Linked DNA regions of Oryctolagus cuniculus. The protein of the gene in region 1 purifies or fractionates together with the protein of each later gene. This does not show direct contact. Links are inferred from orthologs where the notes say so. Each region holds a gene or a part of one and is shown on either strand. Other genes may lie near its edges.

Region 1 (6,965 bases):
CCTTCTGCAGGACAGCCCATGCGTTTGCGATTGATGGCCCAACACCGGTCAGATCTTTCGTTCTGTGACCCTACCCAGCGCTGTTTGTGATCTTTTTCTGCACGTCATGAGTTCCTTGACTCATGCTTTAAAGCATCAGCGTCGGGGCCAGCACTGTGGCGCAGTGGGCTAAGCCACTGTCTGCAGTGCCGGCATCCCATACGGGTGCTGGTTCAAGTCCTGGCTGCTCCACTTCCGACCCAGCTCCCTGCTAATGTGTCCCCTGCACCCACGTGAGAGACCCGGAGGAAGCTCCTGGCTCCTGTCTCTCACCTGGCCCATCCCCGGCTGTTGTGGCCATTTGGGGAGTGAACGAACAGATGGAAGACTCTCTCTCCCCACACCTCTGTAACTCTTTCAAATAAACAAACAGTTTTTAATAAAAAAGGCATCAGCTTCTTAACTAAAAAAAGTTAAAATAGTACACAAAACATTGTAAAGCACCAGGTTCTTCAGCACAAGACACAAAACGAGCTCTAGCTGTATCCTTAGATGCAGAAGGTGCTTTTCTGGAAAACTCTTACAGTGCGCTGCGATGTTCCAAGGCAGAGCCGGGCTTCACGCAAGATCAAACAGCAAACCGACAGTGCCGTCTGGTGACGTGCCTTCATGTTCAAACCATGCCGCACTGACTTCTAACCTGCCGGAAGTGCCCTGCCACTCTGCGGGACACGCGTGGCCAGTAACTTCCTCCGGCGATAGGAACAGCACGACTCTGCCTCCTCGGCTGTTTCACCTGACGAGTGACGCGAGTCAGAATCCGGCTCCAGCTCCCTGCAGTGGCGGAGACGCTCAGCCCCGTCCTTGCCCTTCTTTTAGGGTGTATCTACATGAAAGGCAGAGTTACAGGCGGGGAGAGTCTTCCACCCACTGGTTCACTCCCAGACGGCTGCAATGGCCAGGGCTCCGTCCCCCACACGCAGGAGCAGGGTGGCCAATCGGCAGCACCTCGGGCTACTCCCGCCTCACACCCCGGGGCCTCTGACCCTCACTCCAGCTGCAGGGCACACACATGGGTGCGTGCACGTCCGGGGCTGTGTTGTAGACGTCAAAGGCCGCCCCTGGATTCCGCGATTGGCTAGAAGAACACAGCGCTCAGCGTGGAGCTGTGCTCACAGCCAAGATTCATTCCGGAGAAAGGAAATGAGTTAAAGTCGGTGAAGGGAAAGGTTCACGGGATGAAGCAGGCATCCTCTCAGGACCAGGGTCCTGGTCCAGCGGGCTCACACGGGACACGGCCATCTCCCGGCAACAAGCGGGGACAGCGACCGTGCAGTGTGTCTACAGGGAAGCCGGCTGGAGCCTCCGTGCCCAGGCTGTGCATGGCCAGCTGGCACACAGGCACCTTGTGAGGCCTGGAAGGAAAGCAGCCGTTCCTCACAAGCCGAATGTTTGACAAACAGCCCAGTGAGCACTGGGAACCCTGAGGGCCGGGTTCCCAGACGCCAGTGCACTTTGCAGACCTGTCTTCTAAAGAGCGGGCCTGCTGGGCTAGCAGTTCTGCACAGGACCCTAGTCAGGCCCCCACCCGCAGTGCCTGCATCACGCACCGATGCTGGTTCACATCCCGGCTGCCCCACTCTGATCCAGCTCCCTGCTGTGGCCTGGGAAGGCAGCAGCAGATGGCCCAAGTGCTTAGGCCCCAGCACCCACGTGGGAGGGCTGGAGGAAGCCCCTGGCTACCACTCACCCACTTTGGTCGCTTAGGCTGAAGACTGGCACTTCCTGGTTACTCTGAGTCGTGAAGCTGGGGCTGCAGCGGTGGCAGGGACCCAGGGGACCGCAGGCTCCTCAGTATTTTCACCTCACCCAGTCAAGACAGGGAGGAGGACAGCAGAGGTCAGGCCGACACTCCAGCCCAGTGAGGACGGGACAGTGAGCTCAGGCCACCGAGGCAAGGGGCTGCGGCTGCTCTTCTAGCAGACAGCTTCGTCCAGCAGCAGGGTAGAGCGTGGGGGACCCAGAGTGGTCAGTGGCAGAGGACCAGCCCTCACGGCCGCGGCCACAGCCACTACGGAGAAGACGCTGCAAGCGCTGCACCTGGACCCTGGACCAGCCTGTCTGCATCGCCACGCCGTCCAGGGCAGCTGCGCTTTGTCCCTTCCCCTTAAGCCTGGGCCATGCGGTACGGCAGAGGCAACGCGGACTTCTGGGGCTGAGTCATGAAGTCGCCACACACGCGGCGCTGCCTTGGGAGCCGCCACCAAGCCGAGGGAAAGCCCAGGCTGCTTGGGGAAGCCAGGCAGGTGTGCGCCGACGGCCTGCAGCTAACAGCAGCGGCCACGGGGAGGAAGCATTCAAGACGGCGCCAGCCACCACTGAGCGCCAACTGTGGACTGTGCGAAGCTACCCAGGGACTTCCGCTCTGTGACAGCGTGCAGGTCCCGCAGCAAGAACCAAGCATGCACCAACCGCCTTCTGGAAGGGTGCGGGCATCTGCACCCTCAAAGGGGACGCGGGCACTGTGGGAGCTGGGCGTACGGGAGGCAAGAGCCCGGGAGCACGGGACCGGCGCCCGCGTCTCCTCTCCTCTCCGGCGCGCCTCTTTCCACCTGCAGACTGCGGTGGGATGCGGCCCAGCGGAGGCAGGTGCTGGCCGCACAGGTCCGGGCCCCTTCCCACGGACACGGTCAGTTCCCAGGCTCGGTGGGAAAGCAGCAGAGCTCGCGCTGCCCTGCTTGCGGCCTTCGCCCCGAAGCCCCTGCCCTCGGGGTGCGCTCTCCGCGGCCACCACGCAGCCCTGCAGGACCACGCGAAGGGATTCCGCGCTGTTTTGTGCAACACAAAAAGGTGCGTACGAGGGAACAGGCTCAGCGCCCCCAGAGCCGCGGGGTGACAAGCGCCTGAGGGAGTCACAACTCCGCGGATACGACCGTATCGTACGAGGTCGCGCCCAGCTTTTAAACTCAACAAAAGTTAGAACGGCAAGGAACCGAGAGAACGGAGCCCCGCCAGCTCCGGCGGCCGCGGCAGGCCGCCCGGGACCGCGGCGCCGGAAGTGACGCCACACCGCGCGGAGCCGCGGGCCTCAGGGACCGGAAGTGCGGCCTGGCCGCCGGAAGTGCCGGGGCTGATGGGAGGTGTAGTTCTCCGGCCGGCCGAGCGCGGAGCGGGCGGCCGCGAGCATGGCGGGCCTGGAGCTCTTGTCGGACCAGGGCTACCGGGTGGACGGACGGCGCGCCGGGGAGCTGCGCAAGATCCAGGCGCGGATGGGGGTGTTCGCGCAGGCCGACGGCTCGGCCTACATCGAGCAGGGCAACACCAAGGCGCTGGCGGTGGTGTACGGGCCGCACGAGGCGAGTGAGCGGGCGGCGGCGGCGGCGCGCCCTCGGAGCGAACGCCCACCGGCCGCCGTGCGGCGCTTCGCGTGCCGGGCGCTCTCGCTCCCTTACCTCGACGGCCCGGCCCGCGGCAGTCCACACGCGCTGCCTGTCGGCGCGAGCAGTGGGCGGACTGGGGTGGGGAGAGCCGGGCACCCGTCCGCCGTGAGGCTTTCCCAGGGTTTGGGGTTTCACTCCCCGCGCAGTGGGGAGGCGGGGGTTGAGGTGCAGCTCCCACAGAACCCGCGTAGCCCCGGGGAGTGGGTTAGGGACGCGCGCCCGAGGCGACTGGCGGCGCTGGGCGAGCAGCCGCTGCGGACTAGGGCGGGGGCCGGGGGCCTGGGCCTGGCTCACGAGGCGCCCCTCTTCCAGATCCGGGGCTCCCGCTCGCGCGCGCTGCCCGACCGGGCCCTGGTGAACTGCCAGTACAGCTCGGCGACGTTCAGCACAGCCGAGCGCAAGCGCCGGCCGCACGGGGACCGCAAGTCCTGTGAGCTGGGCCTGCAGCTGCGCCAGACCTTCGAGGCGGCCATCCTCACCCAGCTGCACCCACGCTCCCAGATCGACATCTACGTGCAGGTGAGCTGGCCGCAGCCCCGCACGCGGAGGGAGGGGCTGCGGGGCGTGGGGCGGCCGCCTGACGCCCCTCGGGGGCCCTGCAGGTGCTGCAGGCGGACGGGGGCACCTACGCGGCCTGTGTGAACGCGGCCACGCTGGCAGTGCTGGACGCCGGGATACCCATGCGGGACTTCGTGTGCGCCTGCTCGGCCGGCTTTGTGGACGGCACAGCGCTGACGGACCTCAGCCACGTGGAGGAGGCGTCGGGCAGCCCCCAGCTGGCTCTGGCCCTGCTGCCGGCCTCCGGCCAGATCGCGCTGCTGGAGATGGACGCTCGCCTGCACGAAGACCACCTGGAGCAGGTGCTGGAGGCGGCTGCGCAGGCTGCGCGCGGCGTGCACACCCTGCTGGACCGCGTCGTGCGGCAGCACGTGCGCGAGGCCTCCATCCTGCTGGGGGACTGAACAGCGGCCGCCGGGCCCGTGCGGACCTCTCCCACGCGTGACCTGCTCCGGAGTCGCACCTGGAGGGCCGGTGCGGTGCGCGCAGGCGGCGGGAGGCGGCTGTGGGCGCTGTGGGCTGCACTGAGCAGCCCCTTCCCCCAGGAGACCCTGGGCCGTTCTGTCCCTTACCTTGAGCTCTAAAAGTACCACAACCTCGTGCACTTGCCTGCATTATTCTCCCCTGCTCGGCCCCTGCCTCCCCGCCCACCACTGCGCCCCCGTCACCCGCCCGAGCCCTGCAGCAGGGAACCAGGAGCTGCGTCTCCCGGACCACCTCGGGGACCCCCTGGCCTGGACAGGGGCAGCGCGCTCCCTACCGGCGACCTCGGTGCAGGGCACCCACGGCGAGGATTCCCCGTCCCGGCCTCCCTCTCCAAGCCCTTCATCCCCGTCGGCTGCTCGCTGCCGCCCTGCGCTTCACCTCCGTCTCCTGCCAGCCGTCCAGCTGATGCTTCCTCGCCGCCCCTGACCGGTCTGGCCCGTTCGTGCACGGTCTGGCCGAACTGGAAGCTGCCTCCCTTGCCTGGGCCCACCCCCAGTCAGCTGAGCCCGAGCCCCGCGGCCTTCCGGCGAGTCGCCGCTCAGAGCATGCGCAGTGGGCCTCCTGCGACCCTTCTGGCCTGGGCATGCGCAGGGGCCTCCCCGCCTTCTGGTCTGGGCATGCGCGGCGGCGCGAGGCCCTCTGGGACCGGAAGTGCGAGCGAGCGCGAAGCCCCGGGTCTGACAGGAGCCGCGCGCCGCGTCGGTGCCCGTACTGGTGGCGGGAGAGGGGTCGTGGGCCCGCGCCGCCCAGCCATGGGCCTCCTGTCGGACCCGGTCCGCCGGCGCGCGCTCGCCCGCCTCGTGCTGCGCCTGAACGCGCCGCTGTGGTAAGCGCGGGGCCGCGGGGCGGGGGCCCGGGCCGCGCGGCCCCGCGGACGCTGAGGCGGCCCCTCTGCCCCGTCGCAGCGTGCTGAGCTACGTGGCCGGCATCGCCTGGTTCCTGGCGCTGGCTTTCCCGCCGCTGACCCAGCGCACGTACATGTCCGAGAACGCCATGGGCTCCACCATGGTGGAGGAGCAGTTCGCGGGGGGGGACCGCGCCCGGAACTTCGCGCGCGACTTCGCCGCCCACCGCAGGAAGTCGGGGTGAGCGGCGGAGCGGGGGTCTGGGAGGGCCGAGGCCGAGGCCGGGCGCCGTGCTCACAGAGGCTCTGTGTCTCCAGGGCCCTGCCGGTGGCCTGGCTGGAGCGGACCATGCGGTCAGTAGGGCTGGAGGTCTACACGCAGAGTTTCTCCCGGAAACTGCCTTTCCCAGATGAGACTCACGAGCGCTATGTATTGGGGGAGGGGGTGTGGCTGGGGCCGAAAAGCATCTTGGGGTGGCATAGGGCGGGAGTCGCGTTGGGGGGTCCCGAGGCCAGGGGAGCCCCTGGGGAGCACGGCGTGGCCGGGCAGAGGGAGGGGCCCTGCACTGTACCGGGGTTCCCGGGCTGACGCTCCCCACCTGCCACTGTGTGCAGCTGGTGTCCGGTACCAACGTGTATGGCATCCTGCGAGGGCCCCGAGCCGCCAGCACCGAGTCCCTGGTGCTCACCGTGCCCTGTAGCTCCGACTCCACCAACAGCCAGGCTGTGGGGCTGCTGCTGGCACTTGCTGCCCACTTCCGTGGTGAGACTGGCTGTGGGGGTCGCTGCTGGCCTGGGACGGCTTGGTCGGTGCCCCAGCCCTGCTGCTGACCCTGCCTCTCACGTGCAGGGCAGATTTACTGGGCAAAAGATATCATCTTCCTGGTGACCGACCATGACCTTCTGGGCACGGAGGCCTGGCTCGAAGCCTACCACGACGTCAATGTCACTGGTAGGTGCCCTGCCCTGCCCTGGTCGCTGCCTCCACCAGCCCCTCGCTGGCGATCGCTCACTGTCCCTGCAGGCATCCAGTCGTCGCCCCTGCAGGGCCGGGCGGGGGCCATCCAGGCGGCCGTGGCCCTGGAGCTGAGCAGCGACGTCATCACGAGCCTCGACGTGACCGTGGAGGGACTCAACGGGCAGCTGCCGAACCTTGACCTGCTCAACCTCTTCCAGACCTTCTGCCAGAAAGGGGGGCTGCTGTGCACGCTGCAGGGCAAGGTGAGGCCCCGCCTGGGGCGCACAAGGCCTGCTGGGAGGAGGGCGCGCTGATCCTGCACCTGTTCCCCCGAAGCTGCAGCCCCAGGACTGGACATCGCTGGATGGGCCACTGCAGAGCCTGCAGACGCTGCTGCTCATGGTCCTGCGGCAGGCCTCCGGCCGCCCCCACGGCCCCCACGGCCTCTTCCTGCGCTACCGCGTGGAGGCCCTCACGCTGCGGGGCATCAACAGCTTTCGCCAGTACAAGTACGACCTGGTAGCGGTGGGCAAGTAAGTAGCTCTGGGCCCCTCTTCCCACGCCAGGGGGTGGCCCGGGGCCGGCCAGCTGTGACCCTGCCTCCCGTGCGGCAGGGCTCTGGAGGGCATGTTCCGAAAGCTCAACCACCTCCTGGAGCGGCTGCACCAGTCCTTCTTCTTCTACCTGCTGCCGGCGCTCT
Region 2 (7,324 bases), on another chromosome or scaffold:
CATTTGGGGAGTGAACCAGTGGATGGAAGACCTCTCTCTCTTTCTGTCTCTCCTTCTCTCTGTGCAACTCTTTCAAATAAATCTTTAAAAAAAATTACCTAAGTGGTCCAACATAACCTTGGTATAGCCAAAAGTTCAGTAGGTAGGAATCAGAAAGAATCTACCATGAAGGGCAAAAAATTAATGGAAGAAATCTACAAAAACCACTACGCATCAAAAAAACAACAATAAGAAAATAAATATGCAAGTCACTGACTCAGAGAAAAAGTTTACAGTACATATATCTGGCAAAAGACTTATATGCAGAATATAAACAAATGCTATATACAGAAAAATGTTTTTATCCCCCCAAAAAACCAAAAGAAAGCCCTACATAAGTAATGAATTTTGATTAATGATGTGCATGTTGAAGTGTTTAGGGATAAAATGTATTGATGTTCTTGTGAAATGCACAAGAAATACAGTGGCTTGATAGAAGTACGAATACAGAAGGGCAGACAAATAATGTGCTGTACAACACCAGAAAACGTAAAAAAAAAAAAAAAAAAACTCTCAATTTTTAAAATGGCCAGAACATTTGAAAAGGTACTTTACAAAAGTAGACAGAAAATGCAAATCAAAAACCATGAGATGCCAGTAGAACGGGTAAAATTTAAAAGGTACACAGTACCAAATGGGACTGTAAACTTCCAGATGGCACATGCTCCCGCAGTTCAAGGGTCCAGTGTTACAACCACTTTGGAAACTGGTCATGGACTTAAATATATGCCAACCTCATTACTCGGCAGGCACCATTCACTTAAGAGAAATGAAAATGTGTACCAAAAAAACCCAAAATAAAACAAAAATTGAATATGAAAGTTTATAATAGCTTCACCCACAACAGGCAAGCACTAGGAACAAACCAATGTCCATAAACAGGCGAATGCAACAATATTCTTTGGTTAACCTCTAAACCAAAACAGCAATTGAGAGGCCTGAGTTGTGGTACAGCGAGGTAAGCTTATGCTGGTACCCTATACAAGTGCCGGTTCCAGTTCCGGCTCCTCCACTTCCAATCCACTGTGTTGACATGTGCAGAGTGCAAAGTCAACTATGGGTAAATTAAATCTCAACACAAATTAGAACAGTAGTAATCCCAGATTGCATCTGTAGTCTTATTCTTTGTCACTAAGCTCTCACAGATTAAAAAAAAAAAAAAAAAAAAAAGCCAGCTCACATAAAATGTTCTTGATGAAGTAGTAAAAATTTAACTTTATTAATCTCAGTCTTTGATTGCTTAAAAAAAAAAAATATGTACAGAACACAAAGATTGGATTCTTTGGAAACAGATCCCGAGACAGAGTTGTACATGGACAAGTTTATCAGGGGGTTCTGTTCAGGAGAGGCCCCTCCACAGAGGTGGGGCTGGCAGATCAGGGAGAGGGAGACATGGACCTGCACTGTGGCTACCGAGGTCGCGGCCACCTACAAGAAGCTCTTAGAGTTAGGAAATCCCGTCAGCTGTTCCAAGTGGAGGCAAAGATACTTAACTCTCATTCCCTCCCACAGCCCAGCCACCACCTAAACGTGTTCCATGTTAGGAGGTGTTAACACTGAATAAGCCCCATGGTCATTACTGAATTACAGTCTGATACAGCTAATATTTTAAAAGGAAACTTCTAGGGGCAGCTGTCTGGACCACTGGTTCAATCACTACTGATGGAGAAGTCTGCATCCCACACCCCCAGATTGGGGTGCCTGGGTGTAAGCCCTGGCTCTGCTCAGGACTCCAGCTTTCTGCTAATTTGCATTCTGGAGGTAGCAGCGAATGAAGTTGAGTCCCTACCACTCACATGGGAGACCTGAACTGAATTCTGGTCTTGACTTACAGGCCTACCTGGCCTGTATCAGGCATTTGAGTAAACCACTGGATGATGGAAGGTCTCTGTCTCTCTGCCACTCAAATAAAAATAAAAATAAAAATAAAAATAAAAATAAAAATAAGGAAACCTCTAGATTTGGGGACACATAATCCTACAGATCAAGTTTCTAATTACACAGATAGCAGTAACCCTTTGGAACAGTTCAGATAAGCACAAAGCAGTGGGTGAGTTCCATATACTGAAGCACAGCCATGTACCAAACAGTTTCAGCTGATGCATGCATGTAGACATTGACCCCATAAGATTATACTGCTCAGTGACACCATGGATCTCTTCGTCTTTGGAAGTATATTCTATATATAATGTTATATATATATATTCTATATATATAATAATAATTAATATATATATAATATATATATTCTATATATAATGTTCAAGCTGCAAAATGGTCTAACGATGCATTTCTTGGAACGCATCCCCACTGTTAAGTGACACACGACTATTAGCGCCAACACTGATTGTGCCTTACACCTGGCATTGTGGTGACCGCTTTATGTACATTTTCTCATTTGCTTTCCACAAGGTATGTATCAGATACTATTATCGTGCCCCAAAGTGACAAAAGACAGGTTAAAGAACTCATCCAAGGTGAAAAGCAAGTGGCAGAACAGGGCATCAAACCCAGGTCTGCCTGCCTAGGGAGCCTAACTCATTCCGCTGTCTCTCTACATGGGAGTAAAACACAAGAACACACACATACGCCAAGGACAGAGGACCCATTTGCTCCTGCAGGTCTACCTCCCACCCTCTCCCCATGCTGGAGGTCCTGGGAGGGTGACTTGAAGGTAGCATACTGAGTGACTCCTTTGCCACTGGGTACCTGACTCCCTTCCTGCAGGATTCATTACATGGGGCTGGCTGTGCCCTTGAGTGAAGGTAGTAACTCTTGCAAGATGCTCTCTCCACACAGCCTGTTTCCAGATTTAGTAGTCACCTCCTCCTGGGCTGGAGAGGAATTATTTCCACTAGCCAAGACACAAGGTACCGCTCTGTTCCTAGGGGTGCTCCTACCTGCCTACAACTCGTTAAGCTGTGAAGCTCTCCTTACCTTTTCCTGCCAACATCCTGAGCTAACATACACACCTATACATAAACAGGATGCTGAGTGTTGGCAAGAAGTTACTATTTGCTTTTCCAGAAAAGGAGTCTAAAGGTCATTTTCTAGGAAGAACATGCTGTATTGCGGGATAGAAAATACTGGTAAGTCAGAAACAGTCCTGCCCTTCAATAAACAGCTGGAATACTTGCTGTGATATTGGTCCAGGCACAAAATTAAATTATGGCTCCTTACTAGTAATGGCTCCTTGCTCCTCCCTGACCTTCAATGCCTTCTATCTCTGACAGGTTCTGCTTCCCCCGAACAGCAAGCGGAGGAAACCAGGCACTTTCCTTCCATCCCTCCTGGTGGGACCTATTTTCTGTCTTCCCAAAAAGGCCCAGAGAAGGTTGGCCCGATGAAGAAGGGAATGTAACAGAACAAAAACCAGTTACAGAAAGGAAAGACGGGCCAGTGCCGTGACGCAGTAGGTTAATCCTCTGCCTGAGGTGCTGGCATCCCATATGGGTGCCGGTTGTAGTCCTGGCTGCTCCTCTTCCAATCCAGCTCTCTGCTGTGGCCTGGGAAAGCAGTAGAAGACGGCCCAAGTGCTTGGGCCCCTGCACCCACGTGGGAGACCGGGAAGAGGCTCCTGGCTTCACTCAGCACAACTCAGGCCATTGTGGCCATTTGGGGAGTGAACCAACGGACAGAAGACCTTTCTCTATGTCTCTCCCTCTCACTGTCTGTAACTCTACCTCTCAAATAAATAAATAAAATCTTAAAAAAAAAAAAAAAAAAAAGGAAAGACAAACATGCCTGAGGATAACAGCAGCGTCATCAGCGATCTGACAAAAACTGATGTAAAACAACCCCATAGTTCCTCCATGCCAGTTAAGAAAAGTTCCAAGGAGAAATGATAAACAGCTCCGTAAGTTTTCGAATGAATTAATGGATGATGTGAATGCATCACTCTTTCCTTTACAACCGTTTATAAGGACAAGCCGTCTAGAAGTGCAAGGCACAGCTGAGTGAGTTATGCCAGCCTCAGCACTGAGCAGCCGAGGGATGGGTAAAGTCAAGACCTCTTCAGCTTCAGTTTCTTCTGCCAGACAATGTGCGGCACGGAGGGAGGCAGCTCGTAGGTTTCCTGTGAGCACTCAGTAATCAAGGGATGCAATGTGCTTAGCCTACTTCCTGGCACGCTCAATAGCCTAAGAAACTTACCTGAGTGGTAAGAAAAGTATCTACAGTTAGAAAAAGAAGACACCATTCCCAACAGTCTTAAAAGTTCGGCCTTGTGAGGAGTTCTCACTGAAACAACACTGCTGGTCTGAAGCACACACCCAACTTTTGGAATTTAATGAGAGAAAGAATATTCTAGCTACTTCAAAAGGTCCTCTGTTATCAGAGGTAAGGGCTATGTTCCTCCATTCAGTATTTTTAAAAGGGGATAATGGCAGGGAATCAGTAAAAACTTATAAACCACTTAGAACTTTTCTAAGTTTAATATTTATTTATTTTTTTTAGAAAACTACTTAAAAGGCTGACTCAAGAAACTGAAGAGAACCTATTTTATGGGCTTTCTGTCACAGGAGTGACGAGTCACATGACAAGGATTTCCCTCTGAATGTCCCAAGAATCATCAATATATATCCAAATAAACCTACTCTTTCTCTTTCAGCTCTGGCAAATCCAAGTACCAGTGTTCTTCACTAATGATCTTCTTCTCTTCCTCTTCGAGCTGCTTCTTGGTTTCCGAGTCCAATCCCCTTTGCATGAACTGTAAAAGCAAAACAGAATCGGTGTCAGCACTCTCACTCCCCTTGTGTAACTGCTAGTTAGGCTGGACCTGGTATACAACAAGGGTTCAATAAAGGGTCTCTGAGTATAAATGAGTCTGCATGTCTTATTTTTCCAGATTATCTTTATTGGATCATTCTCTTCATAATGCAGAGGCCTCATTTTATCACTCATACCTTGGTGGTCAAACTCATCAATCCTGACCAACTGACCTTTGATCTCCCATTATGATCAAGTAGCTGTTTTTTATGATACATTCTGTAGATCTGGAAATGACAGAACACCCTGTGAATATGAATCAAGCTTCTCCCAAACTCTCCTAACCCCCCAGCATCTGAGAACACACGGCAAAGCCAGTGGTCTAGCCTCCACTCAGAACTGAGGCCCACAGCAGGCTGGATGTGTGCTGCAAATATAGTTTTCCTGTAACATAGCCATGCTCATTTGGCCTAGTTCACAAGCTTAAAAACATTTACTATCTGACCCTTCACAGACAAAGTTCAGGGCCAGCGCTATGGCGTAAGGCATAAAGCCACCACCTGCGGTGCCAGCATCCCATATAAGTGCCAGTTTGAGTTCTGGCTGCTCCACTTCTGGTCCAGCTCTCTGCTGTGGCCTGGGAAAGCAGAAGATGGCCCAAGTCCTTGGGTCCCTGCACCCGTGTAGGAGACCCAGAAGAAGCTCTTGGCTCCCGGCTTTGAATCGGCCCAGCTTTGGCTGTCGTAGCCATTTGGGGAGTGAACCAGCAGATGGAAGACTTTTCTCTCTCTGCCTCTCAAATAAATCTTAAGAAACAAACAAACAAAGAAGTTCACCAAGTCCTGTCCTAAGACTCCAAAAGAGTTAAAATTGCAAATACACATCCTCTCTACAATCACTGGGTCCTACTAGTGACTTTCCACCTGTATCCTTCTTTTTCTACTTCCCACCAAGAGCTTCCTCCTCCAACAGTTAACTCAATCAAAAGAGTTAAAGAACACTGAAAACAAATGAGTCAGTGCTCTCATACTTGCCCTCTACTTGGCTCTAGCTGAACAGTTACGGCAGCTATAATCATATCCGGGGCACAGATGCCCCATGCCTTCACGCAGGACACTCCACTCCATCGGCATGTTTAGTGTCTCCTGCCATCCTATCAATAAGCTCTTTCTTACCAATGACCAAAGCTGCTAACCCCAAATAGAGAATGTGGATAATTTTTTTGCCCTCTCCTCTGCTCCTACATCCAGTTAAGTCTTCCTCTTCCCTTCTGCTTGGATGGGGGTAGTAACTGTTTTAAGTTCATTTCCTTCTTGTTAACTGCAGAGTCAGCTCTTCAGACACAGCCCTAGTTCACCAGCACATCTTCACTTGGCCTATTACAAGAACTAAATGAAACACTAAAATCTTTTCAATGTGTGCTCAATCAACTCACTCCATTTCTCTGAAATCGACGATTACAAACCACCAACAAAAGAAAAGTCTATTCAGTCAAGACTCACATGTTGCTCACATGTATGAGACAACTTTACCAGCTGTAAGTTACGCAACAATTTGACTCCATCCAGTACTCATCCTGGTACATCCTGAACGCCAGTCACACCTTGCACAAGCGCTGTTTACTCTCCATTACTGATGCCTTGTTTTTCCTGGACATTCCAGCACTATATAGGCACGACATCTAACAGTCTGCATCCAGAAGTAGTGACAGGCAGCAAAGGGTAGTACTTAAGATCAGGGGTTCAGGACCTGGATGCCCAAGTTAGTACTCAGTCACTGTGTAACTGCGGTAAGTTACCTACTGCTGTTTGGTTGCCTCAGCTGTACAAGAAAGATAATGGCTGTAGCCACCTCAGAGGGTTACTATGTAAATTACATGGGCTAATAGATAGATGCAAGACACTTAAAATCCACCTGGCACACAGCAGAGACTAAGAGCCATGAATGAAGTCTTCAGGCTTTGCTGCTTCCCTGTGGTCATTCCCGGGTTCGTTTTATCCACTGCCTCCTTTTTAACTTTTCCACTATGAAATTACAATTAGGTTGACTCCATTTCAAATATAAAAATCACTTCAGTTTCAAATCCAAAACCCGATTTAAAACGGGGTGACACAACCCACCCTTTTCACCTCATTCCCACCTCCCCTGCGACCCTCACCCCTTACTCGGCTCACCAGGGCTTCTAGCGGGTCTGACTCCACTGTTGCCCCTTGCCTGGCTTTCCCCCACCAACGTGTTCTCCCCAGGACCAAAGCAGCCGGAGAAGCTGACAGCTTCGCGCCCCATAGCTTCCCCGGCTCACAAGACGAACGGAAAACCAGTCTTCACCTGGCCCACAACTCCCTCCGTGCCCCCAGGCACTCCGAATTCCCCTCGGCTCCTACGAGTGCACACATTCCGCTTTTCGCTCTCGCCGCTCGCCCTCCCGACCTCGCTTTCCTCTCGGTTCAGGACGCGGCATCCTCGCCGCACACTTCCGGCCAGCAGCCCCCGGCGCCCAGCGCCTCCCGACCCTGCCCTCGGAACGCCGTGGGCTTCCTGCCTGCTTACGGAAGTGCCGGCTCCTGTCCGCGGGCTG
Region 3 (7,324 bases), on another chromosome or scaffold:
GGGTATTTTTTTTCCAGTATCCTTCATTTAAGAGTGATCTAAATTTAAAAACTGTAAGTTATAGTTATTCCTCAGCATCCTCAGGAAACTGGTTCTAGGATCCCTTCAGATACCAAGTTCAAGTCCCTTACATAAAATTGTGTAGTATTTGCATATCCTTCCATATACCCCAAGTCAGTCATCTATTTATAACTTACAATACCTAATACAATGAAAATGCCATGTAAAGAACTGTCATACCATATTGTTTAGGGAACAATAACAAGGAAAATCAATCTGCATGTCTTGGGTACAGATTTTTTTTTTTAATATTCTCCATGTGCATTGGTTGAATCCACAGGTAGGAGCCAAAAGAAACTGGGAGCCAATTGCATTTTTTAGTATAAACAAATAAACTACTTGGAGGGGGACCCTCAAACTTACTTATCTCTGCATAAATTAGTTTGAAAAACAGAAAGGCTGGGTGTTTTGTGCAGCAAATAAGATGAGGCTTGGAGCACACACACACCCCATATTGAGCGCCTGGGTTCGAGGGCCAGCTCTATATCCAATGCTAGTGTCCTGCTAATGTGCGTCATGGGAGGCTGCAGGTGATGGCTCAAGAAGTTGAGTCCCTGCCACCAACATGGGAGACTTGGATTGAGTCCCTGGATCCTGGCTGTGGTCTGGCCTCAGTCTAGATGTTATAAGCATTTGGGGAGTGAACCAGCAGATGGAAGATTTCTCTCTCTCTCTCCCTCTCCCTTTCTCCCTTTCAAATAAAAATAAGTAAGTAAAAGTGCTTTTAATTTAAAAATAGAAAACTGAGTATATATTGAGTAAAATAAGGCAGATTTGAAATACTAACTTCAATTTATTAAATAGAATACAAAGCTACACTTCATCAAGTACTTTTCCACTATTCTTACTATACAGAAATTATTAGCTTCTACACATTTCTTTGTTTATAAAGTACACATAGAGAAATCATGAAAGACACAATATTTCTTCCAAAATTTTTAAACTTAAAATTATTAATATTAAAATATTTTAGAAGTTAAAATCTCAGTTATAACCTCAGAATCAGGAATTTTTATGTACAGTCAAACAGTGCACCATCATTAAGGAAATACCTAGTACCTGGGCTGCTCCTGTAATCATATTGGGAATAAAATCCTTATGGCCTGGAGCATCCATTAATGTAATAACTTTGGTTGTGGTTTCAAACTTTGTCATACCAACATCCATCGTTACTCCCCTTAAACAAAACAAAACATTGTTAGAATGCACTATATAAAACAAGAGTTCTATGGATTAAATCATTAAACTATAGGCTGACAAGTAACAATGCGAATTTTATTACATAAATCATTATTTTGAATAATTAAAGTATCAATTAGGGCTGGAATTTCTGCTAAATACAATTATACTTCTATGGCATTAAAACAAGGTTGTGGATACAGCAAGAACTCAATCAAAAGGATTGTTATTTCCCATTTCCTTGCTTTTTTATGTTTTAGTAAGAAATAGTATGAAGTATAAATAAAGAAAAATATATGGGGACATCTCTAGTGGGGGGAAAATAAATACTGCACATGAGAAAAGACAACATGAAAACTCATCACTATCAACAGGTAATGTCCTTATGTTTCATGGTTATACCTCACCTATTTATACAAATAAACTTGTGAAATTCTCATTTGCAAGGTTAGTCAGTAAGTAATGCATTTAGAAAATATGGAGAATCCAAGGAGACCTAACTTTTTAAAAACTGAGAGAAATGAATGGCAGTTTACTTTGTGTGCCTTTCCATCTCCTCTGGAGACCAGACACAATGAACGCCTCTTTTCAGTCACAAGAATGTAGATTGAGATTATAGGGAAGCTGAGGGAAGGTCCACAAGGTCACTGAATCACTCTTGACCTCTGGAACTTAGAAGAGGAACTCGGGTGGGCAATCATCGTAGTACCCGCTGCATCATCCAAAGCAGTGGATGACAGCCCTCTCTTTCATTTTCACGAGTCCCAACGATTCTAATGAACTCAGGTCCCCCCTCAGAGTCAGGTGACTATGGTTTCCTCAGTCATGGCATCTGAGTTTAATCTGAAGTGATGGGCCAAAGTGAGGTATAGTTCTCCTTAATAATCTCCAAATAACCTATGGATCACGGCATTTCAGAATAGTGATGAACCATGACTAATCTATGTAATAAAGGGATATTCTAAAAATAGTATCATCCTGAGAAACCGAAGACTAGTAGCAGTAAAAGTACAACAGTCAGTAAGCAGCAACATCATCCAAAAAAGACCCCTAAAATGAGTGATGATTATAGGAATCAGATCATTAGCTAACTTGCCAGCTTAATTCACAAATTAATTAAATTCGACCAAATTATTTGCACTCAAATTATACTGTCTCCAATCTCTTATTTACTAGATGACACAAAGAAAACTAAAAGCCATATACTTTAACAATCTGCTTGTTGGGCTGACAAGCAGAAATTATGTATGCTTCTAATACTGATGTCATATACAATTCTACTGTTTACAAAAAACTGGCAGCTGTCCGGCTAATTTTTCTTACCAAGGTGGAAAACAGGTTCATGGTGCTATACAGAATTTATAAGACACTTACAAGGGGATAAAAACCTGCTATGATATAAAGTCCTACTTATTAGAAGAGCTAAGGAACATTGTGACCAGTTTTACCAATGATTACCTTATATATTATAATGCAGGTTATCCAAGACTATGAGAAAATAAACATATCCATGAAAAAAGTATAGAAATCTAAATATCTCTAATTATACTCAGATTGAGGAAATTGGGGGAATGCAATTTAATTTAGTCATCATTTTGAAACAGTTACACTTAATCACTAAGGTGCCCTTGGTTCTCCCACCGTTTACAGCCCTAAAATAATACATATCACTACTACAAGAAATATTGTACTTTAGCCAGAAGTATATGAGTGGCTGTATTCTCCTGCTAGAATTTCCACCTCTCCCCTCACCAAATTAGCATTGAACATAGTAACAAAGACAGAAGGGAGTAACTGACTGAATTATATCTCAGTGGCAGGTTATGGGTTTAATTACTTATTTAAAGTATAAAATAAGTAAGTGTGGTAATCTAGATATAATGGTCACTTTGATCCTGAAAGAAGAGAGTTCACTACTGTTGCCTTTCCTTTACAACCTATTATAAAATTAAGTCTTAACTCATAATTTAAATTCAATATCAAGGCAATCAGGCATAAAGGGAAGTAGTAACAGGATCTTCTCCCATAGAATAATTAGCTTAGGGTTTTTACTAATTAACTTCTATGTGTTTTTTGTTTTAGCTTTGATTTATTCTCATAGAATTTGGGAGAGTACAAAGAAGCTATTTATAATGAAAATTACAAGAAATACTTCTCTCTGATAATTAGAAGTTTCTCTCTGAATATAAAATCCCTAAAGTATTTCATGGCATGTTTCATATATTCAACACATATTACTAATTTAAAAAGACTATATCATTTCAAACTGAAAATTCTGAAATATAGTGACTACCTTTCTCTTTCTTCACCAGTCTCATCCAAGACCCATGCATACGCAAACGAAGCTTTGCCAGCCTTTTTAGACTCCTGTTCATACTTATGCATAGTTCTTTTGTTTACATTACCCAGGAGATAAAGCATATGGCCCATCAGAGTACTTTTCCCAGCATCAACATGACCTATGGAAAATTGATTCAAGATTAATACCAGGCACATTTCACAAGCTGTTCACACTGAGGCGTTGCATGACAGTGTAATTCAATAGTTCACTGCAGTGTTTATGGAGTATACTGAATACCAATTTTTAACAAACGACAGATAAAACATCTAAATGCGGGGTGGGGGGGGCATGTCCCTTTAGAGGGGGAGATTTCCCTCATTTTTATAAATTAAAATTTTCAATAAGACATGCCATTCTCAAAATGTGCACAACATGAAAATGCGGCAACAGGTCCACCAGCCTCCTTGGAAACGCGGCATCATTTCCGCAGGGTGACCAGGAAGCCATTATGATGCAACAGCTCCTTGCTTTCTGTCCATTACACCCACAGAGGAACACAGAGCTTCGGGGCTGCCCCACAAGGCAGTGAGGCTCGCGAACCTGGAGGCACAAAGGGCATTACCAATGACCACTAAGTTGAGGAGCTGCTTCCCTCCTTGCCGCTTCTCCAGTTCGGCTTTCACATCGATTTGCTGCCGCAGCCTGCCGGGCTTCTTCACCAGCGCCGCCGGGGAGCTCTGTTCTTCCGACACCTGCCCCGCGTGAGGCGCGGGAGCGGATTTCGCCGTGTGCTCCAGACCGCCACCAGAAGCAGCACTGCTGGTATCGTCACCTTTCTGAGGTGTGTGGAAACCATGACCATTCTCTTGGGAAGTTACTCTAAAGAAAGCAGTTAGGAAAACACTGTTTTAAGCCGACTCTACTTATGAGTCCTTTTTTTTCCATAACTCTTTACACCTCAAACCCAAATGCCTCTGCCAAGTGGTTAGAGTTTGCTAAAAGGGGGATGGCATAAGCTAGACCCAATCACACAAATACAAACTGGAAGATCCCAGATGAAAAAAATACTCTATCAAAGGAAAAAAAAAAAATCCTGTAAACTAACTAAACCTTAAAGTCCAAGCCTTGGTCATATAATCAATCCTATCAAAAAAGATGGCATAAAGGAGGTATAAAGGAGGTTTTTTTTTTATGGCACCACGTTACTGCAGATAAAATTAGCATTAAAAAAAGTTTTGCCCCTAATTTAAAATCTTTTTTGCTCAAATGCTAACTTTAAGGGAGATATCACTAAATGACTACAGTTTCTTAATATTTCTGTCAAAGGTATTTTAATTTATTAACTCAGTAAACTTGATTATTAAAAACTGTAACATATACTAGGCACATATATACTAACAAAAGGTATACAAATGAAAGATTTCACCACTACTCCCAAAAGCTTAGAACCTAGTGAGGAATTCAGATATATAGAGACAAGACAATCAGGCTTTTTTTATTCATTCCTTGACAATGCTGATACCTCTAAAAGTAAACTTTGATTTCAGTTCTCTATTAGCTCTTTGACTACTCCCCACAGAAAGCAGTCCCAGTGCTAACCCAGTGGGTTAAGAGCAGCCTGGAACACATACATCTCATGTGGGCGAGCTCAGGATCAAGTCCTGCCTGCACCTGCCACCCAGCTGCCTGCTAATGCATACCCGGGGAATCAGCGTGGTATGCTCCATTACTTGGGTCCCTGCCATGTGTGTAGGAGACCCTGACTGGGTTCTGGACTTCGGGCTTTGGCTAGACCCAGTCCAAGCTGTTGCCAGCATTTGGGGAATGAATCAGCAGATGGACGACCTCTTTCTGTCTCTGTGTTTCTCCCTCTCTCTGTGTCACTCTGCCTTTCAAGAAAATAAACAAGGGGCCGGCTCTGTGGTGCAGCGGGTTAATGCCCTGGCCTGAAGTGCCGGCATCCCATATGGGCTGCTCCACTTCCCATCCAGCTCTCTGCTGTGGCCTGGGAAGGCAGTAGAAGATGGCCCAAGTGCTTGGGCCCCTGCACCCAAGTGGGAGACCCGGAAGAAGCTCCTGGCTTCGGATTGGCACAGCTCCGGCCGTTGCAGCCAATTGGGGAGTGAACCAGTGGATGGAAGACATCTCTCTCTCTCTCTCTGCCTCTCCTTCTCTCTGTGTAACTCTGACTTTCAAATAAATAAATAAATCTTTTTTAAAAAATCATTTTTGAAAAAAGAATAAAGCCAATTATATCCAGCTCAACATGGGGCAAGCAAAGCAGTACACAGAGAAAACAGTATGTAAAAATCACTCAAGACTACATTTTCTTTTTTGTTCACAGTAAAAAAAGAACAGATTAGTTTTTCCCTCTTACAGCATTTTTTTATGCTTGAAATTAATCCTCTTCTTAAATCTTAGGAAAAGAGGCACATTAATTTTATTTGCAACTTCATTCTTATTTATTTTGTTTTTCCAAGTCTCCAATAACCAACTGAGGTATTCATTTTTTAGCACTGCATAAATAAATCAGCTTCACTTCAAACTACAAGGAAAAAAATTTTAATATGTGGAAAACATTCCTATACTTTTAAAGGGTTCCAATAGGCTGAATTGAGAAAAATCAAACTTCCACCTTTGATTATAATTTGCACATATTTCAACAACAGCTAGTTCTAAAAAATAAAGCATGACAACTATGTCTTCAGAATATTAAAAAACAGAAATACTACAAATTACAACAAAAGTAGTCTACCAGAATGGTAAGACATATGCTTGGGTTCCGATCAGACCTGGGAGAAATCACTCAGTCTCAGGCTTTAGTTCTTTGTGTTTTCGCTACAGACTTTTTTCCTTCATGGAACAGTTAAGACTCAATCTGAGACGGAACACAGACAGCAGCAGACCCAATACGTTGACAGAGGGACTTGAAGCTCAGCTCACCCTCCACTTCAGGCAGCCCTCAGAGGGGATATTTGGGATGGAAAGAGCTTCATAAACACAGATCTGACTGGATCATTTACATTCTACAACATGAATGGTTTGGTTTTCTCTCACTTTCAGAAGAACATTCTCTTTGAAGTAAATATCAGGTAAACTGAATATTTGTTCACTAAAATTGGATAGCATTAGAGGGATATGGCCAAAATCACTAGAAAAGCATGCTAGGTAAGTCTACACTTAGTAAAATCTTCTCTACATTATGATGCAAGAGTTGATGTCTTCATTTGAAAAACCTCTTAAGGTTTAAAAATGGCTATTCTGGGTTCAGGTCTATAATTATTGACTAGAATGAAGTTAGTTGAATGTTTTTCAGATGCTTTCTGGCATAATTTTGTAATCTTATCTAATACTATAAAATGACTAATCTCTTGTTTTTCTAAATCACCTTCCCAAAAAGAGAACTATTTACATATAAATTTAGAGGCTTAATCTTTCTTCTTAGGATTCTTAGAAGCTAATATTTTAGATTTACAAGGTTAAATGTATTTGTTCTACATGCAATACTCTAATCATTTTTATTTATTTATTTATTTTTGACAGGCAGAGTTAGACAGTGAGAGAGAGAGAGAGAGAGACAGAGACAGAGAGTTATAGACAGAGAGAGGCAGAGAGAAAGGTCTTCCTTCTGTTGGTTCACTCCCCTAATGGCCACCACGGCCGGCGCTGCGTCGATCCGAAGCCAGGAGCCGGGTGCTTCCTCCCGGTATCCCATGTGGGTGCAGGGACCCAAGCACTCGGGCCATCCTCCACTGCCCTCCCGGGCCACAGCAAAGAGCTGGACTGGAAGAGAAGCAACCGGGA

What was found. Proteins that work in one complex are often made in the same cells at the same time.
Region 2: the proteins of EXOSC4 (region 1) and MPHOSPH6 purify together in Homo sapiens (affinity purification with mass spectrometry; 7 studies listed by BioGRID and IntAct, with this or other methods). This does not show direct contact. The link is inferred for Oryctolagus cuniculus from reciprocal best matches to the Homo sapiens genes EXOSC4 and MPHOSPH6.
Region 3: the proteins of EXOSC4 (region 1) and HBS1L purify together in Homo sapiens (affinity purification with mass spectrometry; 3 studies listed by BioGRID and IntAct, with this or other methods). This does not show direct contact. The link is inferred for Oryctolagus cuniculus from reciprocal best matches to the Homo sapiens genes EXOSC4 and HBS1L.

What each region holds. Positions count from the first base shown.
Region 1 is NC_091437.1:167,907,376-167,914,340, forward strand, and holds EXOSC4 (exosome complex component RRP41), read left to right. Parts: upstream 1-3,089; 5' UTR 3,090-3,164; coding exon 3,165-3,335; intron 3,336-3,731; coding exon 3,732-3,938; intron 3,939-4,021; coding exon 4,022-4,381; 3' UTR 4,382-4,579; downstream 4,580-6,965. Other genes in the region: GPAA1 (glycosylphosphatidylinositol anchor attachment 1 protein), read left to right, coding at 5,009-5,289, 5,369-5,548, 5,626-5,737, 5,923-6,070, 6,158-6,259, 6,332-6,528, 6,602-6,798, 6,880-6,965. UniProt on the Homo sapiens protein: Non-catalytic component of the RNA exosome complex which has 3'->5' exoribonuclease activity and participates in a multitude of cellular RNA processing and degradation events.
Region 2 is NC_091449.1:64,154,225-64,161,548, forward strand, and holds part of MPHOSPH6 (M-phase phosphoprotein 6), read right to left. Parts: exon of another isoform or gene 7,297-7,324; intron 7,286-7,296; exon of another isoform or gene 7,075-7,285; intron 4,748-7,074; coding exon 4,635-4,747; intron 1-4,634. UniProt on the Homo sapiens protein: RNA-binding protein that associates with the RNA exosome complex. Involved in the 3'-processing of the 7S pre-RNA to the mature 5.8S rRNA and play a role in recruiting the RNA exosome complex to pre-rRNA; this function may include C1D.
Region 3 is NC_091436.1:33,925,721-33,933,044, reverse strand, and holds part of HBS1L (HBS1-like protein), read right to left. Parts: intron 4,400-7,324; coding exon 4,143-4,399; intron 3,699-4,142; coding exon 3,533-3,698; intron 1,238-3,532; coding exon 1,120-1,237; intron 1-1,119. UniProt on the Homo sapiens protein: GTPase component of the Pelota-HBS1L complex, a complex that recognizes stalled ribosomes and triggers the No-Go Decay (NGD) pathway.